Arabidopsis thaliana: one gene and its partner. The protein of the gene in region 1 interacts with the protein of each later gene in a pairwise test. Each region holds a gene or a part of one and is shown on either strand. Other genes may lie near its edges. The genes, in order: AT5G52650 and CUC3.

The links.
Region 2: the proteins of AT5G52650 (region 1) and CUC3 interact in binary tests that used the Arabidopsis thaliana proteins (3 or more experiments, as listed by UniProt).

The regions. Positions count from the first base shown.
Region 1 is NC_003076.8:21,354,900-21,359,177, reverse strand, and holds AT5G52650 (RNA binding Plectin/S10 domain-containing protein), read left to right. Parts: upstream 1-1,958; 5' UTR 1,959-2,174; coding exon 2,175-2,177; intron 2,178-2,291; coding exon 2,292-2,340; intron 2,341-2,538; coding exon 2,539-2,818; intron 2,819-2,912; coding exon 2,913-3,045; intron 3,046-3,322; coding exon 3,323-3,397; 3' UTR 3,398-3,637; downstream 3,638-4,278. Other genes in the region: AT5G52655 (uncharacterized protein), read right to left, coding at 953-1,116, 1,205-1,286, 1,370-1,372; HSP90.1 (heat shock-like protein), read right to left, coding at 4,031-4,278.
Region 2 is NC_003070.9:28,671,202-28,676,035, forward strand, and holds CUC3 (NAC (No Apical Meristem) domain transcriptional regulator superfamily protein), read right to left. Parts: upstream 2,845-4,834; 5' UTR 2,635-2,844; coding exon 2,430-2,634; intron 2,298-2,429; coding exon 2,023-2,297; intron 1,353-2,022; coding exon 828-1,352; 3' UTR 605-827; downstream 1-604. UniProt on the Arabidopsis thaliana protein: Transcription activator. Involved in molecular mechanisms regulating shoot apical meristem (SAM) formation during embryogenesis and organ separation. Required for axillary meristem initiation and separation of the meristem from the main stem.

The DNA of each region.
Region 1 (4,278 bases):
GGGAGACCAAAATCTCTTAATAGAGTTGTCTTTGCTTTCGTTTTCATTCGTTTATAGAGGAAGAAATAAGGTGACTGTGACCATTTGTATAACAATATGGATAAACTATTTTTAGTGGCATACTCTCGACTATAAGAAAAGATGCATCCAAGGAATATCAAATCTTCTTGATCAAAAGGTTATAACTTATAAAGAATGGACTAATATATATTTTAATTTGATCATATCTTAAGACTTACACCAAATCCAATTATTTTTTTTATAGAATATGAAAACATAAATAAACATCATTACTTGCCTCAGAAAAATAAAAGTAAAAAATAAAAATAAACATCATTATTAGAGATCATAAAAAAAATAATTTGCAGGGTATTCAGTGTGATCAATGATTTCGACAGATTTCAAGATCAATAATTTGTAGTTGGCTTCATTTGTTTGTAAACACATTTTGGAGGTGGTGATAAAACACATTCTTAGTGATGAAATAGATAAATACATTTCTAAATAGATGTAAATCAAATGATGGTTTGACTGGTTTGCATATAAAACATTTTCTAGAAGAAGTTATTAATCATATTTTAAACAAGAATTGTAATCATATACCATTCCCTCTCTCAAATTTGTTTTGAGCTTTTGTTAAAGTATGTATCTGTCTCTTTGATGGGAGACCAAATCAAATCTCATAATAGCGTTGTATGCTTTCGTTTTAATTCGTTTATAGAGGAAGAAATAAGGTGACAGTGTAGACCAATATGGTTAAGCTATTTTTAGTGGCATACTCTCGACTATGCATCCAAGGAAAATCAATCTTCTTGAACAAAAAGTTTATAACTTACAACTTATAAGAATGGACTAATATATCTTAAGACTTACACCAAATCCAATTACTTTGATAGAATATGAAAACATAAATGAACATCATTATTTGCCCAAAGAAAAATAAACATCATTATTAGAAATCATAGAAAAAATAATCCGGAGGGTATTTGGTGTGATCAATGATTTCGACAGATTTTAAAACCTTTTTTATTTTCTCCAGTAACTTATCTTGATCAATATTTTCTCCCTTCACTGCAAATACGTCGTCCATGATACCACAACTTATGACATCAACTCCTAATATAATAATAAAAAGATGACAATCATTCACATTGTTCAAAATTCGTTTGTTGAATATAATTGTTGGGTGTGTGTAGGTTTGTACCTGGAAAACCACCTGCAATTTTGAATCCTTTTCGCCATTTTTTTTCGGGATATCCTGGATGCTTGAATACAATCGTCATCGACTACAAACAATGAAATAAAACTAAAGCTTTAGTGAATTTATTATATAACCACATAAATAGGTTTACTAAGAAAAATAACTAACCATTTTTTGAAAAACTCAAAAGTTTGGAAGGAGAAGAGAAGATGATGGACAAGAATGTGATTACAAACTCGCTTGCTCATCAACCTCTATATATATTACTGAAAATTGATTTTTTTTGTTAAATAATCTATAAAAGTACATTTATCTCTCAATTTCACAATCTCTTTCGACATATGTCACAATTTCTCATAACAAATTTTTGACACAAAAATAGATTTATCTTCTTTTTTTTTTTGTTGAAACAACACAAAAATACATTTATCTCTCAAAGATTTTTTTGTTACAATATGGAGCAAATAAATTAATTAAACTGGAAATTATTTTAACAAGATAATATATGTAATTAATAAAAATATATGTTAATTTATAGAATTAACTAATCTGATAAAAATATATAAAGTAATCAAAGTTATAGTAAAAAAAAAAAAAAAATCAAAGTTATAGTAAATAATATTTAAACGTATGTCACAAAATTTACAAGATATAAACTTTTCAAAAAAGAGAGGATAAACCATCGTAAATATAAATACAACGAGTGTAAGTATTGGTTAATAAAATATTAAATATAGTTATCATCAAATAATTTGATAAACCCCCAATTCTTAATTCAATTCGACAAGATCATTTTGAGTTTCTCAGTCTCCGATACTGCCCAAACTTAAGGCCCATATTTAATGAACTCATTATAGGCCCAAAACAAAGCATATAAAGTCATCGTCTTCTCTAGTCCTGCGAAAACCCTAGTTTTTTGCTCTCTCGAAGTTCCGTGCGACTCTCTGCTCGAGCAAGATCTCCTACCGATACAATGGTAACACACAAGCTCTGCTTTTGATCTATTTCTCTATTCTCATCATATTCTCCGGTGTCTCAGAATGTTGTTTCGTTGAATTTTGACCATTTTCTTCTTCCTTCTTGCTCTCAGATTATCTCAGAGGCTAACCGCAAAGAAATCTGCAAGTACCTCTTCAAAGGTTCGTTCTTCTTAAATTTGTTCTTAGATCTCTGTTTTCTTCAGCTTCTGTGAGTAAATTGATTCATTTTTAGGCTTATGCCGATGAACATTGTGATTTTTGAACTAGTTTAGGTTAACTAGTTATGGTAGCAATTATGATGTTTGGCTTAGAAGGTGAACATTGTGTTGATTATCATATGTTCTATGATTTTTGCAGAAGGAGTTTGCTTTGCGAAGAAGGATTTCAATCTTGCTAAGCATCCGTTGATCGATGTCCCCAACCTACAAGTGATTAAGCTTATGCAGAGTTTCAAATCCAAGGAGTATGTTAGGGAGACATTTGCCTGGATGCATTACTATTGGTTTTTGACCAATGAAGGGATCGAGTTCTTGAGAACTTATCTTAATCTTCCATCTGATGTTGTTCCTGCTACTTTGAAGAAGTCAGCTAAGCCTGGTGGTCGTCCATTTGGTGGCCCACCTGGTGATCGCTCAAGGTGATTAACTCTTTGCTTAACCCATTTCATGTCTGGCAAAAACTTTTTTTTTTTTTAATTTGTTTGACATGGTTTGGGTTTCTTTGTATTTCAGAGGACCTCGCCATGAAGGAGGAGACCGTCCCAGGTTTGGTGACCGTGATGGGTACCGTGCAGGTCCTCGAGCTGGTGGTGAGTTTGGAGGTGAAAAGGGTGGAGCTCCCGCAGATTACCAGCCATCTTTCCAAGTAAATTCTCACTGACCATACCTTCTATTTACTTCTCTATCTCACCAACGTCATATAATGTGCTACTCTTGAAGTCTTTATCATAGAGCTCCTGAACCTGAGAAACCATGAACATATTTAGTCTCTCTTTATCACTTTAGTTACAAGGAACATAAATCTTTTACTTTAGCTGTGAAGTGTTTCAAAGTCTATAGTTATATAATTGCCTTGTGATTTGATTTACCCGCCTTCTCTTTGTTTGGTTGCCATTGTTCTAACATCCTTTCTTGTTTATCAGGGAAGTGGCCGTGGTTTTGGCCGTGGTGCTGGTGGCTACAGCGCAGCTGCACCATCTGGTTCAGGTTTGCCTTGAAAAAGAAATGTCTTTAGGTGACAGTAAGACCATGGAGGAGTTTTCAGCTTTAAATTTTGCTTTTGTAATTCAGATTCCGGAATCCTTCATAATCTCTATCTGAGTTTAGTTTTGTTGTTGAATCAAACATCCGATTTAAAGTTATGTTCATTCCATCTTCTCTCCCCTTTTCGAGCATGCGAGAATATGATTCCCCCTATTGAACAAATCAATCAACCTTTAAGCGATAACAAATTGGTGTTGTGAAAATTATTAACTTCTTGATCTCGTTTTGTCAGATCTAAAATTACTATAGCCAAGCTACCTTTCACGTCAAGTTGTCACTCCTATCTATTCCAGTGATCTTAGGAAGTCTATCTTTTGGAAGTCAAGTTTTACTCTAGGGAACCAAAAGATTTGTTCAGAAACAAGAAAAGTTCCTTAGCTGAATAACAAAAACTTGAATCAGTATTAGACAGACCCACCACACGATATAACAGACCTGACACAAACCCAACCCTAGAAGTAGTCACAATGTTCAAGTAACTCTAAAGATATAAAAAAAAAGACAAAGACATTTTGGAAAATCTTAAAACTCAGAACAACTCGACATATTAGAAGTTTTCAGAACCATAAGAGCAATTTCTTCATCTCTTAGTCGACTTCCTCCATCTTGCTCTCTTCAGCAGCGTCCTCCTCCAACTCAGGCATATCACCATCTTCCTCAACGTTCTCATCCTCATCAATACTCAGACCCAACTTCAACATCCTGTGAATCCTAGCAGCAAAAGTGTTCGGTTCATCAAGACTGAATCCAGACGTCAACAAAGCTGTCTCATACAGCAACATGACAAGATCTTTAACAGACTTGTCATTCTTGTCTGCTTCAGCTCTCTTCCTGA
Region 2 (4,834 bases), on another chromosome or scaffold:
AATTCAAATTTGACGAGCAGAAACCAATTTCTTTTAGAACTTTCACGCTTGAATAAGACTACATATCTAATAAACTAAGTATTTTATGTTAGGGAATTTATATGTGAATGCATCATGAATTTATATTATATTTTAAAGCTGAAAATCTTGATTTATCGATCATTCATATATCAAGAATAAGACCACATAACAATTGTTACTCGTTTAGGCGTTTACCATCTATTTTCAAACTTAAATTAGTTTTCATAATTCGTTATATATTATTTTATCAGCGGGCCTCGCTGGTGTTTAATATTTAGTTAAAGTCAACTTCTGGGCCTCGCTGGTGATGGGCTTCATAGTCCGAAACTATGACCAAACTTGCTAAAGCAGGTAAACCAAACTGACAAAGACATTGTAGCCCGCTTAACCGGTCCAATTTAGCATTGTAACAGAAAATGTCATTTTTGCAGTCCCAAAATTATGAACACAATTCATACAAAAAAAAAAAATCTTCAAAACAAGAAACAAAAAAAAATGAATATGAGGGATAGTCTATCAAAAGCAAAAAAGAATAAATAAACAAGAATGACGTCAGAATAGTTGCAAATATTATTGGTATTTATGAGATCACATCGAATAGTGAAACGCCCACAAAATACAGTTCATCAAAAGTTGTAACACAATAATAGCTTTTACCTGCAAGGCTACAGCAATCAGCCACATAACTTTTAAGAAATTTGTTCGACAAAAGATTTTGGATCTTAGGAATAATAATTTATATAATTTGTATTTTACAGAAGGTGAAAATAAGAAAAGACCAAATATAAAATCCAAGGGCCAAGATTCTACAGCTGGAATCCTAAAGGACATGGAGAATCTAGTAGCATGTGAAGAGGTCCAGGAGAAGACGAAAAACCCAACAGACCATAACTCGCTTCCTGAAACAGAGGGTTCTCCAAGTAATCTCGTACGTCAATTTCGTTACCGTTCGAAGACTGCTCTGTTTTCACGCCGAGGTTAAAGTCGAAGTCGTCTTCGTCGTTGTTGTTGTTCCCTGAAGGAAAGATGATACCGTTGAGCTGAGAGACGACAGGGTTGATTAAGGCTTTGAGCTCGTCGATGTTGTGGCCTGATGATCCATGAAGGAAGTTGTTATTATTGTAGTTTTGGTGTGGATCATCGTAGAGTAGTGATGGGAAGTTGGTTAGGGTTTTGTTGGAAGGTTCTATAAGCAAAGGTAAGGCTTCATGATGATGATGATGTGTTGTTGAGAGTGAATGGTTATGAAGGTAGCTGATTTGGTTATGGATTAATCCAACATTTTTTCTGTCTCCTGTTTTATTGAACACTCTGCAAATCACCCATTCCTCCTGTGAATTTCCACCAAAAAGAAATGAAAAACCAAAACATGTTATTACACATTATATAATGCCTACACCTTAAGATCTTGTTTGAAATGTGAGCCTGACAAATTGATTTCTGATAATGATAAATGTAATTAGAAAGGTGGGATACAAAAGAAAGCAATAGTGATGGAAAACGACACAACAGTGTATCGGTGAACAGAAAACGGCAAGGTGTGTTTGGTGTTGACATCCACACCACACGTACAGGTTTATATCAAATCTATCACATCTAAACTGCTCTCTCCCCTGTCCTCCCCATACTAAGCCAAACAACATAGTGACAATACTATTGAAACAAAACACATGAAATGGGAAAAAAAAAGTTAAATATTTCGTTAAACCTTTCTTTTCAACTTGTGGATTTAAAAAGTTAACACATTAATGGAGAACAAAAACATCAAATTTCTATTACATTCGCAAAGTTAAAAAGAATTTAATGTTATAAGAAATGGACGTGTGGGAATAAAAGTAACAGGGTTTAAATTACTAGTTTCACACACTAGTAGTATAAAATTTTTGGTTTCAAAAAGTCAACTCATAAATTGACAAGAGAAAAAATACAAATTTTTTTAAAGAAAGAGATGCACGAGTGAGAGTGAGACGCACGAGTGAGAGTAAAAGAGTGTTAATTTACCTTACACGTGTGGCGGTGTGAATGGTCGTTTTCGAGGCGATACTCATGCATGACCCACTTAGTCTTGAGGCCACGTGGAGCCCTACCTTTGTAGAACACCAACGTCTTCTTCATCCCAACAAGCTGTCCTCCTCCGCCGGAGAAGACTTCCTTATCTTTGCCGGTAGCTTTCCAGTATCCAGCAGTAGTTGCTCTGTTAGTCCTCAAACCTGTCGGATATTTCCTGTCCCTTAGACTATAAAAGTACCACTCTCTCTCTCCCATCTTCGCCATTTCTTCATATAACAACAATTTCAAAACGTTACACTTTTTTCTTGTTAAAAGATTTATCAAAATATTCAACTAAAAACAAGATTCCAAAATAAAACTTATGAGGTAAAGAAGAGACAAAATGTATAATATATTACCTGGTAGCTCCCAAGGTTCACAGCGGTTGAGATCAACTTCGGAAATGTGAATGCCGGAGAGACCACCATGGAAGATTTTGGAAGCTAAGTAGAAGGTAATGAGCTCTTCGTCCGTCGGGTGAAACCGGAAGCCAGGTGGCAATCCTCTCTCGTTCCTTTCTTCTCCGGCGAGTTCGCTTAACACATCTTCCACCGCAAGCATCATCTTTTACTTAATATAACTGAAAAAGAGACTTTTTGTTACACTGAAGAGACACCAGAAGGAAGAACAAAGATAGCAATGATACAAAAGGTGATGGGAAGTATAACCTTATTGTGTGCAAGATTATATATTTATATACCAAAATGGCACATAAATCGAAGATATAATAGAGATAGAGAGAGAAAATGGAGTGTGTATGTAGAGGTATGTGTATAGATGTGTGGATTTTGAGTGTTTGAGGTTAGAGGAGCATTGATGATAAAGGCTGTGAAATTCAGGGAGCAGGGGCTTCTATTTGCCCTCACCTGGGGAGTGAGTCTCTTTCTATTTTTCCCTATGCAAATAATAATTAAAGTATATGACATTCTAAATTGTAAAACAACTTTTCCCGTTTTGTGTGTTTATCACTATACTGCTGCTTTAGCAAAATTCTTATGGTCTTGGAGTTTTGATTAGACTGGGTGATGTTAAGTTGTGATCTTTCGTTAATGACTACTCGATTGGTCAATGGATCATTTACAGTGTTGTTTTTGTACTTTAGCTAACTACAAATGTAATTTATGATAAATGGTGTTGACGTTTTGGTTTTGGGTTTTATGTCATAATTTTTATCTATTTTTCAACAAAAGCTGACATTTTTCTCTTGTTAGTTTGAACAAAACGAGAGAGAGAGCTGTTTAATAAGGATACTGTTTTGGGTGTATATTAGTTGAAAAATACCATAATGCAAACATCCATATAATGTTGAGTTTTGCATAAATACACTATTTTACAAAGAAAACCAAAACTCTAGTGCCCTTTATCATCTCTTTAAGATCATTCTTCCCACGCACCAAATAATGTGTTTTCAAGGAAAGTATCAATATTACATTTGATCCAGACTAGTTGAACTGATATCATTAAAGTTTGAGAGGAAATATATATGCAATGCAACCGTTATACTAAAGACACTGATAAGAAGGTAATCTCATACTCCAAGTCGATCGATTTCTCAACCAAAACAATTGCAGTCGCAGTTAAAAGTTTTCAGATTTCAAGAAATGTGAAACAAATAATGTAATCTAAAATTGCTACATTTTGTGGTTATCAGCAAATAAAATTGACTTTAAAGAAGAGAAAAGGAAAAGAGTGTGCAGTAAAAAGATGGCAGAGGTTTATGCGTGCGGGTGTAAGCATATCATTATACATTCATGAGTCAGACCTTTTTTTCTTTTATTTTATACACATTCTCCCCTCAGATATATACCAATTCCTTTCGATCGTTTCCTTATTTTTCCTTTAACCACTTTCTCCAACGGTTAACTCAATTCTGTGTATTACACTTTGTTTCTTTTGTTGGTTCGGTTGATTCTATACTCTTCCTCATAATAAAAAATGGAATATAAGGTTGTTTGTGTTTCGGTTTTGACACATATTTTTACTATCATTTTTTCAAAAAAAAAAAAAACGAAGCAAACATGTTCGGTTTATAGTAAACCAACAATACATAAAGCATGAGTTTCGTCAAGTGTCTCAACACAACTATTTAAAAAATTATTGTGAGAAAAATAATTGGAAACAAAAACTTTTAATTCATATTGTCGATATTAAATGTTTGACAAAAATGTAAGATAAAAATTAAAATGAAACAGTAGAAAGATAGCAGGTGTCGGCGGTGGCACGTGTGTGTAGAATGATACAAAAGAATCAGGTAAAAAGATAATAAATGCAAACGTACTACACTATCTATCTATCTCACTAAATATTAACTGCCCACACGATCTTATGTTAAATCTCCCAAGTCATTCTTTTACCCTAACCCCTACACAACCCTATAATATTCATTTTTAAATATATATATATATATAAGTATTACACAAATAGATTTATAAAAATTAAAATCTAATATTTGAAACAAATGTTTCATCCAATAATTCAAAACCTGCTGTACTTGCATAGGCTTACCTAAGCCTATCCATTATTAAATGCTTATTATATATAGTTTCTGTACTATTTACAATCTAAATTATTTTTCGTCAGGGGATCTATAATCTTTATAGCTCTGATAATATTTCTGTGACTCTCTTTTTTTATCCTTTTCAAAATTGTTATTTTTTTCTATTTCAGTTTAATTATTGCCCAAGTGATACCATCGGTCTGCTATATATATTATAGTGCTGTTCACCTGCGTCACAAAACAATATTATTGGCCCCTGTCAAAGTA